Neurospora crassa OR74A: one gene and its partner. The protein of the gene in region 1 purifies or fractionates together with the protein of each later gene. This does not show direct contact. Links are inferred from orthologs where the notes say so. Each region holds a gene or a part of one and is shown in the gene's direction. Other genes may lie near its edges. The genes, in order: cul-1 and scon-3.

Region 1 (7,337 bases):
TTGCTCTGAATTCTAACTCGTGTCATGTAGCATGGATCGACTCGTATGAAGAGAGATATGGACAACCGTCCACCGGCCAGGGGGGGATCTTGAACCGACCACCCCCACGCACAGTCCAGCCACAACACAACGGCACGCCAACCGAACCACGAAGGGTATCGAAAGATGGATTCGTGTACGAACCAGATGGGCTAGAGCGGAGGAACGATTCCAAGATGAAACTGCGGCGGATTCTGAGACGCGGGGACGGCATGGAGCGCGGCCGGAAATGGGACCATCTCCGAACGGACGAACCCGTCATTCTCCACCGGAATGCGCACTACACGTCCAACTCGCCCTGGTCCGAATTCATCCACTCGTCGCAGTGGGGCCACATGCCGAATGAGCAGTCGGAAGTGGTCGACTACCAAACACTCGAGAAGCTGCAACCAAACTTGAATTTGCCCGTGCACCTGCCCGAATCCGAAGACGTTTACAAGTCTCGCACCGGGAGGAGGTCGGCCTTGTACAAGCGACTCTGGCAGCACGTCCTCCGCCATCCCTTGGTGCCGTTACTCTTCCGGTCCCTCGTACTCATCACCTCCATCTGTGCCCTCGCCCTTGCGATTCGTATCTACCAGCTCGAAGGTCGGCGGCGCTCCAACCAGCAAGAACTACAGAATCAGATTCTCGCTCGATTACGAGCCCTGCATTCAGCCTCCAATTCCGAAGGATACGTCGACCAAGAGCTTTCCCTGATAAGACAGATCTCGCCCGGGTCGTCAGAGCGGACTCAAGCGATAGTGGCGATTGCGGTGGACACGATAGCGATTCCCTATATCGGGTACATGCTCTGGGACGAATACACGGGCCGCCCATTGGGACTAAGGCCGGTGACGCAAAAGAGCGGGTTGGTGCTGATGGATGTGTTTTTCATCGTGTTCAAGGCGGCCAGCACGGCGTTGGCATATGAGGTGTTGGTTTATCATAACAGTCAAGATCGCTTCACGGACCATTTCAGCCAGGCGCTGGCCGCGTTTCAGCTGCTTGGGCTTTTTTTCTGGTTGACCAACTTTACGGTCAATGTGTTTAGGCTGGTAGTAAAGCTGGGAGGCGGAGATGATTTGGAGACTCAGAGGGGAAGGTAATGACGGTTATAATGGGCGGTCAAGCCCCGAAGGATATTGAGAGGGAAAGAAAAACAAAGCGGGGGAGATGAATCACGTCGAACGTCTCCAACCACCCGCATGGGAGCATACTTACTTGCATTTTCTCGTACTTTGTCGATACCTCAGCACGGTTCTGCCTCTGTGTTCTTTTGGGTGGGGTTTTTGGATTAGCAAATTAGCATACAGCGGTAACAAATAGTGTTTGATCAGTTGGTAATGTTGGTGATGTTGATATTAGCAAGGATGGTGATGATTATTACTCGATTGTATATGCATTATGAGACATGAAAAGGGGAACGGATAGCGAAAGATTTGACATGGTAAGGAGATATCATATTGCCTGCCGTGAGCTCCCAGCAGAAAAATACATGCAGTTTAATCGAATTCTGGCCACCAATGGTGTCCTTCTACAACATTAGCGGTTAAAGGGGCTGTAAACGGCTGACCTACCTCTACCTACAAGTAGCTACATCGTTGTCACTGTTCTGCTTTCTTGTATGTAAAATGCCCCGCCAGCTGTACATATGTGCCATCCCCATATTTTATTACTTCAGTTCCGGTTATTGTATTCATATTGAGAAGAAACATGGTATTATATCAATATAAGGTACATACCTTCATCAGATCTGTTAGCCGCCATTGTTAGATGTACCGGTAATGACGGAATGTACACTAGATGGTCGCCCGTCCCGCATCGCAGGGCATAGGTCGTCTCCATCCCCGCCACTTTCCCGTCCATGGTTGGTTCCCCACAATTTTGCGTGTTCGCGGTGGACGTTTACTGGCGGGGGGGCCACTGCTCTGGAGCCTCCATGCTGCTTGCTGTCAGTGTCAATCGATGCCTGCCACGCCGCTGCAGCCTGAAAACCGTCAACGAACGACGGCATCGCTCTATCATCCGGGCATCGACCACGGCAGCAGCAGCAGCAGCAGCAGCCTCGGGGGGCCAATCTGGAAACTGGAAACTCCACTCTTCAACTTGATTACCTACACTCAGAACAGAACATTGAAACCTGTCAGAACACCACCACAACAACAACAACAACAACAACAACAACCAGCCAAGGTACCTACCTCTACACCTCACCTCTAGGCTGCGACCTCACACCCGTCACTCCAAGGGAACAATCCTTTCTTCACCCGACCCGATATCCGATCAACCCGTCTGTCTGTCTGCTCACGGTCACGGTCCTTCTCCCAGCCGACACCGACGGACCTAAGGACGTGGTGACCCCCGCCATCCATCCGACCTTCCAGACCTGTGGCGCGCCTCATCGCTCAGGACGAGCTTCTACTTCTACGCCTCTGGCTGCCACCCAGTCCATTTACCCTTCGTCACCGGTCGCAGTCAACGCGCTTCCAACCTCAAGAACGACCGGTCGCCCAGATCAAACTCGTTCTTGCCCCCCCGACAGCCTCTGGACGAACACACGCGACCCAACACGACCTGGTCAGCTTGAGTTTTCTCACGGATTACGCCCCTCGTCCACCACCACTTGTCAGCCGGCATATTATTCCCAACATCGCATTCTTTCTTCGATTCCCGGCGCACGATCGCTCTTCAAACGAACATACACATAGACACAACAAACATGCCTCCGGCAACCATGATGATGGGGGCGTACGGGCAGCAGCCTTCTGGCAGTGATGGTATCGACAGCACGTATGTTTTCGCTCTCTTCGCTGCTGGCCCCTCTGCCTCCAAACAGCCGTACTGACCCTCTGCCAATCAGTTGGCCATACTTGCAGTCTAGTATCAACAAGATCATGACCAACCTCCAAGAAGGCCTCGACATGAGCAGTGTATGTTTCTTCCTCGCCCATCCGTCCACGTTACCCCCCGCTAACACACGCCGTTTGTAGTACATGGGAATCTACACGTTAGTTGGACGGATGCCCTATTTGTCTATACACTCCTTCAACATGGTACTAACTGCGGCATAGGGCGGTGCACAACTTCTGCACATCGCAGAAGGCCAACGGCGGTAGCAGCAGTCCGAGTAATCACCTTCCGGGAATCGGGGCCCAGAGAGGGGGTATGTTGTCTTTCCCTGCATTTGCCCGTTAAACAGATTGAGCAAGAGGACTAACATGCACCAGCCCATCTGCTTGGTGAGGACTTGTACAAGAAGCTGGCCAACTACCTGACAGACCACCTTAAGCACCTAGTCTCCGAAGCGGAGGCTCACAAGGACGAGGCCTTGTTAGCTTTTTACATTCGCGAATGGCAACGCTACACCAACGCCGCCAAGTATATCCACCATCTCTTCAAGTACCTGAATAGACACTGGGTTAAGCGCGAGATGGATGAAGGGAAAAAGAACATTTACGACGTCTACACGCTCCACCTTGTTCAGTGGCGTGACGTGTTGTTCCAGGCTGTCTCTAAGAAAGTCATGGACGCCGTTCTCAAGCTAGTGGAAAGGCAACGCCTCGGTGAAACCATCGAGTACACCCAGATCAAACAGGTGGTCGATAGCTTCGTCTCACTCGGTATGGACGAAGGCGACAACACCAAGACGACGCTGGAAGTGTATAGGTACCACTTTGAAAGGCCGTTCCTGGAGGCGACCAAAGTCTTCTACCAAAACGAAAGCAAACAGTTCGTGGCCGAGAATAGCGTTGTCGAGTACATGAAGAAGGCCGAGGCTCGCCTGGCTGAGGAGGAGGAGCGCGTACGCATGTATCTGCATCCAGATATTGCCCTACATCTGAAGAGGACTTGCAACCAGGCCCTCATCGCGGAGCACTCTACCCTGTTGCGTGAAGAATTCCAGGCCCTGCTGGACAACAACCGAGAGGACGACATGAGGCGGATGTACAGCCTCCTTTCTCGCATTCCCGACGGTCTGGAGCCTCTGCGGACTCGTTTCGAGGCCCATGTTCGCAAGGCTGGTTTGGCGGCTGTTGCCAAGGTGGCTGCAGACGCCGACAAGCTGGAGCCCAAGGTCTACGTCGACGCTCTGCTTGAGATCCACACTCAGTACCAGGGGTTAGTTGAGCGCGCTTTCAACAAGGAGCCTGACTTCACCAGATCTCTAGACAACGCGTGCAAGGAGTTTGTGAACCGGAACGAGGTCTGCAAATCGGGCTCCAACAAGTCACCGGAACTGCTGGCCAAGTACACGGACGTGCTTCTCCGCAAGAGCAGCACCGGAGTGGAGGAGGCGGAGCTCGAGAACACGCTGACGCAGATTATGACTGTGTTCAAGTACATCCAGGACAAGGACGTGTTTCAAAAGTTCTACTCACGCATGCTGGCGCGCCGCCTCGTACACAGCAACTCCAACTCGGACGATGCCGAGACCTCGATGATTTCCAAGCTCAAGGAGGCCTGCGGCTTCGAATACACCAACAAGTTGCAACGCATGTTCCAGGACATGCAGATCTCCAAGGATCTCAACACAGGCTTCAAGGAGCACGTCGCCTCCCTCAACATGGACGGCAAGCCGCTCGACTCGACGTACTCTATCCTCGGCACCGGTTTCTGGCCGCTCGTTCCGCCAAACACCAGCTTTGTTGCGCCCGCCGAGATCTCGGCCGACTGCGATCGGTTCACCCGCTTCTACAAGAACAAGCACGAAGGCCGCAAGCTCACTTGGCTGTGGCAGCTGTGCAAGGGCGACATCAAGGCGAATTATATGAAGGGCGCTAAGATGCCCTATATCTTTAGCGTGTCGGCGTACCAGATGGCCATCTTACTGCTTTTCAACGAGAAGGACCAGTACACGTTCGAGGAGCTTGCGAGCATCACTCAACTCAACGCGGACGTGCTTGAAGGCGCCCTAGGCATATTGGTCAAGGCCAAGGTTCTTACCGCGGAGGGTGGAGAAGGTGGCAAGATTGGACCGGGAGCGACGTTTTCGCTCAACTACGACTTCAAGAACAAGAAGTATCGCATCAATTTGAATGTGGGCATGAAGAGTGAGACCAAGCAGGAGGAGGCGGAGACGAACAAGACGATCGAGGAGGATCGCAAGTTGCTGTTGCAGGTGTGTGACCCCCTACACCCAGTAAGCGTGTTGATTAGAAAGCTAACGCAGAAACCACACAGTCCGCTATCGTCCGTATCATGAAGGCGCGCAAGAAGATGAAGCACCAGCAGCTTGTCTCGGAAACCATCAACCAGATTAAGGCACGATTCATGCCCAAGATTGGCGACATCAAGAAGTGCATTGAGATCTTGCTCGATAAAGAGTACCTGGAGCGGTTGGAGGATGATGAGCTTGGGTATCTTGCCTAAGTGGTCTCTGATGCTGTGGTAGGACCAACCACAGATACAACAACCTCGGAGTCTGGGTACTGAAGCGGTTATCACCAGAAGAGACAACGTGCGGGGTAAACAAATTAACAATGATCAAGCGGGAAAAAGTACGAATTAACTAGCCTCGATAGAATTCACACATACCGGTATTGAACAACCAGCGTGCTTTGTTTGTTAGTTTGTGATCTCAAGCGAGAGAGAGGGTGTGCTGGAAGGTTGAAGAAGTTGAGAAGAAGAAGAATAGAGATTAGCAGAAGGATTTGGGAAGGGGAAGGACAAAGAGTTAATGACAAATACCATTACAGATCACACATACTTACTATTACCCCATTATGAGTCCCTGTCTGCATGTGCTTCTATTTGGTCTTTGTAGAAGTGATTCAAGTTGTTTGACGCCGGTGAAGACTGAAAACATAACCGTGTTAGGTAGTAGGTAGTAATAGAAGAAACGAATCTTCACTTTACCCGACCCAACGAAGCCAGGCTATGAAGCGATACTTCTATGCTGCCTTCTATATAGTAGCTATGTTGGTACAGATACCTCCATGTACGGTAGCCACAACACTGACTAGAGGTAACTTACGGTATGCACTCACTGCGGTAAATCCCAAGGTAGGTAGGTACCTACCTCTAGATCACTTTGGTTGTTTTAGAAACTGCCCAGACTCTCACTCAGGGAAGGGAATGAACGAACCTTGCTCGAGCCTTGGTGTTTGTACACTAACTACCTCTACCTACCTAAACCGATAACTAAGTAGTGACTTTGTAACTTCAAGCATGATGATGGAAGCTGTCCCTAGGTATACTGCAACTCAACGACAACTGAGGTGACTGGACTTTGGGTAAGTAGCCAAGATAGTTGGTGGACAAGTTGATTACCGGATTATTTGACTAGGTACCTTACACAGTTACTGCCCCTTGGTGAGCGCTGCTGCTGCTGGGTGTTGGGTACCTACCTACCTAGGTACCTACCTAGGTATTATGAGGTGGGAAAGTCGCCATGTTACGTTCTTCCTCCCTTTCTTTCTTTCCTCGGAGCCTTTCCGCTCGCTCCATTCCATGTGTCAATCAGTCACCTAGACTAGTCTAGGTAGGTAGGTAGTGTCTTCTCGGATTCGTTTCCGCCCTCTTGTCTGTAGGCCGGGCACTCACGCACCTACCATAGTGTAGGTAGGTACCAGTAGGTATTCTCATAATCCCAGCGAGGTGCGGAAACGGAGTTACTCGTCAGTTCCAAATTGTATACCCACATACTTAGCTAACATAGCTAGGTAGTTCATCTCTTATGCTGGTTTGATTCCCTTTACATATGTTGTTCGTCACCTTAGCGTGTACTGTACCTAGTGTAGTGTAGTGTAGTGTAGTCAAGTTCCGGCCAGGCTACAAAACGAATTACTGTTACGACATCTGAGACATCCTATTTGTATCTAATCCCTTTTAAAGCCTTTTTAGTCCATTTTGGTTCTTTGAGTCCCTTTTCCGCCCTTTTAGCATCAAAACAAGCGAGAGATCAATGTCATGTGCTGGGGGCGTGCTGTGGGCGCGTCTGGTGCTGGACGGAAAAAAAGGTCCTATCCCATGATGATCTACGATGGGTGATATCGGAGTATGGGCTCGATTAGACTTGGAAGGCGACCTAGTACTAAGTCATTGTGCGTTTGGCACAGTGCCGGGTGCACAAAACAGGTACAGTACAGTCTTTCGACAGGCAGTCGGCCCGTGGTTGTTTGTAGTGTAGCTGTTTGTGGTGTGGTGTAGTGTTGTTAGTTCAGTAGGGGTTAGCTTGGTCCACTGATCGATTTTAGGGAGCATGGGTTAGCGAGAGTATTCGTGGAGAAGGGGAAGTGTGCGTGAATTGGTATGCTTTTTTTTCGAAACCGGTCAAGTGTCCGATGTAGGTTGTATTTGTTGGTCGTCAAACCCTA
Region 2 (6,894 bases), on another chromosome or scaffold:
TTTTGGGGCGCACGCAGCCGTTCGAGGCACTACTAGAACTCGCGGGAAGCTAAATGGGCATCACCGGATGGAAATGTTGAGGAGGGAAGTCGCTGTGATTAAAATAACGGCATGATGGCGTGTCGGGGAGAGAACGCGCTCAAACATAACCCGAAAGCGACGAGGAGAATCTTTGGGCGTGGTAATCAGAAAGGAACCTGGAAGGGATGGGCCTGTAACATTCGTGAGAAGGGAATGCCCAATTGCCCATGGGACCGGGAGTGGACGGTGGCATCGTGCCAGATCTCAGGTACCTCTACCTTTACTGCGTAGGAGCGAACCCTGTCCGCGAACAGCTCCGAACAGGGGGGTTGATGGTCAGCATCCCTCAGGCACGCTAAAGAATTGGATCCGACCGTCCGTTTGAATCATGCAAACGCGCCTTTCCCGCAATTCTCCTGTACGCTACCATCGCTGTAACCAGGGGCACCTAATCCAGCTTCATGGTGTCACCATCCGCACTACTTAGTACAAAGCATCACGCCTCTCTCGTCAGCCGGCGTCCAGGTGTTCTCCAGTGAAGGAACGAGCGATCATGTCTCGCAAGGCCCTTTGAGATGAAAGTATTCACGAGTTTCGAAGGAAGCAAGCAGCTGAGAGTTCAACTTTTCCTGGACGGCAGGGTCATATGTGAAGGTAGGTACCTAGTGATGAGCGACTTTTCGCGGCGAGCCCCTGCAGGTACTATTGCTTGAATCTTGACAAGCTTCGGACTTGCTTGCTGCGATCGGAAAGGAAGGCTTCTGGAATTCTTGAAGCTCAAATTAGGTGGGGTGAGGACATCTCCAGATTCCCCACGCAGTTGTCCGTCCGCATTCGGGAGGCGGGCTATAGACAGACTACCCCCCTTCCCTATATCTAGACTACTTAACCGCTTTGGGCAAGGCTTCTGAGCCTTTTTCCGCCGTACAAAAAATAAGGTTCGCAATCGGTTAAAGTGCACTAAATCCTCAGTCTTTAGGTAGGAAGGAAGACGCATTCCAATATATGACATTTGGACCGTAGTAATATCTAGGGATGTTGAAATGTTCGCTTGGCTGTAATCTTGCATCTGGCCCGGCGTAAGGCTATCTTTTTTTTTTTTTTTCTTTTGGAGGGAGTGTATATGGTGAAAGTGCATCGCCTTATGACTAGAAAGGTGACCAACTATTTCTTGGAAGAATTTTCGAAAATGACCGGCTGTGGTTAACAGACTTTGGCCTAGTTCTGACTGTAGGATGTTAGCAAATGGGAATATAGATCAGATGCCTTAGAACCATGCCCTAAGTGGTTAAGTAGTCTAGATATAGGGAGAAGGGGTAGTCTGTCTATAGCCCGCCTCCGCATTCGGGCCAGTCGGCAGGCTCGTTGGCGTCGTTGGCGCGAGTCTAGGTACTTTGGTAATTTCCTCCCGCACGGGTGCAGCAACTGGTCGATCTGCGCGAGCCGGACCATGGATGAATGACGAGTTACATAGTATGTATGTACAGCTTTATTTGTACCTATATTCGCGCCGGGACACAGCTTTGGAATCTTGACATTTCGCCTTCGTGATCTGAATGTACATCATACTGCGATACGGACAGATGGTAAGCAAAAGATGTCCTGGTCTGTTAGTGTGAAATAAATCTCCAGCAAAGCGGCCTTGAATATTGATAGGCCCTCATGTTGACCCCTTGTCCTTCCTCCCACGGAAGTTTGATTTTCTGTGCTCGTTGGACGGGAGGTACCGCAGCTTTTGTCACATTCAAGCTGCATTCCTTTACTTGACAATCCGTATCAATGATGCAAGATAGCAACAAAAGCCAGAGTAGCAGAGGACAATTTTGGGTACCATTATGTAGTTGTCCATCATGTATATACTTCATCTAGGAGCTTTTCCAACTGAAGCTATTGACATCCCGACATCCAACTTACAAGCGTGGGTAAAATCTACCGGGCGTGCGGGCGTATCATCCTAAGCCGGAACATACATAGTGAATATAAAGCATCTGGAAAAACGCATAGTCCCCGTGTGGGAAACCGCATGTAGTCAGCTGTCAATGAACCTAATTCGTGTGTACGTGGAATGTGCCGGTCTTTGATTATTTTTACTATCCAATGCAATGCTTTGTGTATATTGCAAGCATGAAGACATCTGTAGCTTCGAATGTCCCCAGATCACGCCAACGACGGTCCCCACATCGTCTCTTCGTGACTCAAAATACTACATCTAATCACTGGTGTGCAAATGTCCCATCGTTCCGTTGATGGGAGCTGCGTGGTGCCAAAGGTTAGTACATGGAACGGCACGTGAACGGTCAGGTTCTCTCTCCAGAGCGTTTCTGCGTCTTCCGTGTTGGAGCAAGTCCATCCGTCTCTCCAGGCAGGGCCTGGGCACTGACCACCCAACCCCATTATATTTCAACCCAAGAAGGCTGACGAGCTGAGGGGCCGCGCCAGGATTGCTAGGTGGTCTATGCACGCACTTTACGTGCGCGCAATTGGACTGCGTGCAGCGGGCTCCACAAAATGAAGGCAGAGGCGATTCGTTTGTTGGAAGGACCGACTGCGCCCGCCAACGGGCACTCACGCGGACCTCCGTCTGTACTTTCATCACTAGCCCAAGCAAACTACAGGCAACCTTTCACGGGGAAACCATAAGAACCACGCACTGCAGCCAGTTAATCACACCGCGTGCGTTCCTTCTCTCATTATTGCCAAACCTCCTGCAACTCAGAGCAAGGTCACTTTTACATTTGAGCTTGAATTTGCGCAAACAGGTAACTATATGACAACACCGTCTCCCACTTTTTCCCCCACAATTGAACTATCCCCTCTCTGCATCATTTACACCACCAGCATCAATCACATAGACAGCCAACTCAACCCATCAACATCCATCGACGTATCTTCTAACGTCAAGACTACGACTACAGACATTCAACATGGCGGAGAACGACGAACGTGCCCTCCAGAAGGTATCTCTCCAGAGCAACGATGGCCAAATCATCACCGTCGGTGAGTAGAATCACCCCGCCACCCGGCCTGTCTCCTTTTCTTTCCCTGCGACTGCAGCCGACTAACTGGCGTCAAACACAGATCGTGTTGTTGCCGAGCGATCCCTTCTCATCAAGAACCTGATTGAGGATTTGGGCGACGAGGCTGTTATGAACGAGGCTATTCCCCTACCAAACGTCAACGAGCCTGTCCTCCGAAAGGTTGTCGAGTGGTGCGAGCACCACCGCAAGGACCCGCCCCAGACTACCGAGGACGAGAACGACAGCCGTAAGAAGAGCACGGAGATCGACGAATGGGACCAGAAGTTCATGCAGGTTGACCAGGAGATGCTCTTCGAGATCATTCTCGTAGGTTTCTCCCTCGTTCTACCCGCCGATGCTACTTGATATGCAAACATCACTCGGGTTCTGCAGGGTCAGATCATGCTAACATATTCCTCATCCAGGCTGCCAACTACATGGACATCAAGCCCCTCCTTGATGTTGGATGCAAGACCGTTGCCAACATGATCAAGGGCAAGTCCCCTGAGGAGATTCGAAAGACGTTCAATATCACAAATGATTTCACTCCAGAGGAGGAGGAGCAGATTCGCCGCGAGAACGAATGGGCGGAAGACCGTTAGCCGATCAAGACCAGTTTCCACGTCAAGTCACTTTGCAACGCCGGGATCACCGTCTGCCAACGACAGAGGTTACCCCTGTGCTTCGTCTACCGGAACGCACACTTTAGCCGAGTTTGATGGATATGGGGAGAGCTGTTATGTTGGGAGATGGATATCAAACACATCTCGTGTTATCGACAGCATTTCGACGACGACGTGATACGGTTTGGGCATTCCTGGGAGGGCCACAAACGAAGCTCTTCCACTCAGTACGTTCGATCGTACCTTTGCGTTGGCAGGCGTTTAGAGGCGTTGTTCTCTAGCTTTTTTCTACGGCTCCTTGTTTTCTTAGGCTGAATCGAGGGTTTTCTTATGATGATACAGTTTGTGAATCAGGTCCTTACGTGTCTGAGAACGTCCTCACCGTAAAGGCCGACAACGTCGTCACGATTCTGTTCCGTGTTGTTGCCATGATGGCCCCCTTTACCACCAACATACTCTACATATTGGCACCTCGTATTCGCTTAATACGCCCATCATGTGAACTGTAGTCTAATGATAGCAACAACGACCCTCTGTTTCGTGGCAGCTATTCATGGTTCAAGGCGCGGAGTCACCAGGAAGAAATGGGCCTTAGAGTAGGGGAAAGAAAAGTCAGCCAACATCCACACTACCCTCCATTGTTCCATGCTAGAGCGCTCCCGGTAAAACAGGTAGGTACAGAAACCGCCCTTTTCACTGACAATTTGGCGTTTTGAACTCAACCATGGCCAGGCGCAAGGATGGCATGGAGTTGCCCATGCACACAAACAACATACTAATGGTCCAGATTGCAGAGAGACTAGGAGGGAGCTTACCCAAGTTGTATATCATGGCTCATTTTTACTCGCTTTATACAAGCCAAGGGTACAGAAGTCGTTGATGGAACGTAGGCGGGCTGATTTGGACATTGCCCACGTCTTTTGATCAAGCCCCCTCGGTGTCACAGACCTTGATATAATGCGCACACGACATGGTACATAGACCGATTTTGTAGCACAGTTCCGAGAACATGGGTAGAACAAATATGGGAATCAACTCTCGTGCACCACGTTTTCTCTCATTTCAGATCCTAATTCCCCCAGTAACCGTCCTTCTAAATGTTTGCCGTGAAAGCATAGTACTCCGAAAGTTTACGTTCCCCCAAAACAAGGATCGAGTTCCAGGATATTTCCCCCCGCCGAAAGAACACAGCTGAGAACCGACCGCCGCCGAGCCAGAACTTGGTTGTGATCACATCATCTTCCGGTATTTGCTTCCTGGTTGCCCTTGCCCGCTTCTCCTTCGTGCTTGCTGGTGATCGGTGACTTCGCCCTAGCAAAACAACTCCGTAGCGGGAGGTCGGGAAGATTTCGTTATCGGTTTAATTTCGTAGGACAAAGGCCGAGAGAAGAAGGTTGCCGTCATAGGTCGCATTCCCAAGCTCCAGTTTTCGAAAAATGGAGGTGGATCAGAGCAACCAGGAAAAGAAGACCATCGTTGGGGGTGGAATATGGAAGAATCGTGAGAGCATTTAGAGGCCGAGACGGGTCTTGCGCCAGTGGCGACGCTTGGCGTTGTAGCTAGTTGTCTCTTGTTAGCATCCAGCGTCATGATGAAGCAGTCGCCATGCGTTCTTGAGTGCAGAAAGCTCGCGAGAGGGCATGTTGCGCCGGGTACAGCCGAGGCAGCTGGTTTGTTTTCCAGCTTCCCTCACCACCATCCCCGTCACTATCCATCCCTCTCCCTCTCCTCTGGCTGAACGCGACAGCAATGGGCGCTTATGGTGATATGTACCGGATGGTGTTGCCAGTGCGGAGGCGAATCCACTGGGGGATAGGCCTGTTCTGCTTCTGGGCCTTAGCAAGCTTCTGCTTGACACGGAAGGTCTTGTGGCTCTGTTTTCGCGATGCACCTCGTCAGCATAACTTGTCTTGCCGTCGTTCGAGCAGGTGAAGTCATGGACCCCTCCTCCATGCTTCAATCAATCGCTCTGCGATCATCATTTTGGGAATTCCGTGTCGCTGCCGTTTCTGGCATAGCAGGACGGCCAAAAATTCGACAGCAGAGCGATTCCGAGCATTCTCTATGCTCAACATGGTGGGACGTTACGTACCGGCATTTTGACGGTGTTGTCGAGTTACCGGTCGATTTGGCTGGTGTCGATGAGGTGGGTTAGAATATTTGGTGTGGGCTTTCAAAAACCAAGCAGAACACTAGGGCCCGAAAGTGCGCATGTGGCTGAGTCACGTGTGTGTCTGTGGCTCGTACTTGTGGCACAGGCTCATTCACTCTTGGAGTCCGCTCTCTGACCGGACAGAAGGTCCATTTGGGTCCAGAAGGGAGGCGCACGAGCCACGAGAAGCGGCTATCGGAGGTTTCCACGGTGCCGTCTCGCTGCCAATCGATTGCCGGGATGTTTGCAGTTGGGCTGGGCGCTTGGGGCGGCCTTGCCTCCCGGGACCCCTGAGTGCCGGCACGATCAAAGGAGCTCTTTGGCGGCATTGAGCGACGGCCTCTCTATGACAACGAGAGGAGCATCTTGAAGCAACCTAACCCAAAACACTTTTTTTTTTCGCAATACCACGGCGCAACAAACCCTCGCTTATCCTGTCTTCAACCGTGCGCACGGGAGCATCCGAAAGATACCAGCTGGGCTGACCGCGCTTCCGTTCGCTGCCTCCTCGATAATACACTACTCGCCGTCATCATTTCCATCGACTAGTACGGCCCGATCCGACACGTTAGAGCCCGATCTGTATCAAGGAATCGCCTTGCCTGGTCAAATCCTCTCCTCATCCGTCTAATTATCAACTGCCTCAATCATCACACTCCTACGAACTCAACGCGCTCTCAGTCTTCCGGGGCACTAGCCAACACGCAAAGATGGGTCAGAGCATGTCATGGCTGTCTAGCCTGTCCAACCTCTTTTGGACAAAGAAGGAGATCCGCATTCTGATATTGGGCCTCGATAATGCCGGAAAGACAACACTACTATACAGGCTCAAGGTAGGCCCACCTGTTGAAAAGCTGACGAACGGAAGCGCGCACAGTTCGGAGAGCTGACAACATGTTGTAGATTGGCGAGGTAGTAACCACGATACCAACAATCGGTTTCAACGTCGAATCAGTCACATACAAGAATCTCAACTTCAATGTGTGGGATCTGGGTGGTCAGACTAGCATCCGCCCGTACTGGAGGTGCTACTATGCGAACACGGCGGCGGTAATATTCGTTGTTGACTCGACCGATATGG

Evidence for each region.
Region 2: the proteins of cul-1 (region 1) and scon-3 purify together in Schizosaccharomyces pombe (affinity purification with western blotting; 5 studies listed by BioGRID, with this or other methods). This does not show direct contact. The link is inferred for Neurospora crassa OR74A from reciprocal best matches to the Schizosaccharomyces pombe genes cul1 and skp1.

Annotation. Positions count from the first base shown.
Region 1 is NC_026504.1:5,759,462-5,766,798, reverse strand, and holds cul-1 (Cullin 1), read left to right. Parts: upstream 1-2,108; 5' UTR 2,109-2,740; coding exon 2,741-2,811; intron 2,812-2,881; coding exon 2,882-2,951; intron 2,952-3,011; coding exon 3,012-3,028; intron 3,029-3,092; coding exon 3,093-3,184; intron 3,185-3,248; coding exon 3,249-5,140; intron 5,141-5,202; coding exon 5,203-5,391; 3' UTR 5,392-5,742; downstream 5,743-7,337. Other genes in the region: NCU05203 (hypothetical protein), read left to right, coding at 31-1,127. UniProt on the Schizosaccharomyces pombe protein: Core component of multiple cullin-RING-based SCF (SKP1-CUL1-F-box protein) E3 ubiquitin-protein ligase complexes, which mediate the ubiquitination of target proteins.
Region 2 is NC_026503.1:4,146,539-4,153,432, reverse strand, and holds scon-3 (sulfur control-3 protein), read left to right. Parts: upstream 1-2,573; 5' UTR 2,574-2,780; exon of another isoform or gene 2,781-2,936; 5' UTR 2,937-2,945; coding exon 2,946-3,018; intron 3,019-3,099; coding exon 3,100-3,365; intron 3,366-3,463; coding exon 3,464-3,640; 3' UTR 3,641-4,302; downstream 4,303-6,894. Other genes in the region: NCU08990 (60S ribosomal protein L39), read right to left, coding at 5,172-5,220, 5,435-5,535, 5,754-5,759; NCU08989 (ADP-ribosylation factor 1), read left to right, coding at 6,524-6,646, 6,717-6,894. UniProt on the Schizosaccharomyces pombe protein: Required for cig2 degradation in the G2 and M phases of the cell cycle. Together with pof6, essential for septum processing and cell separation.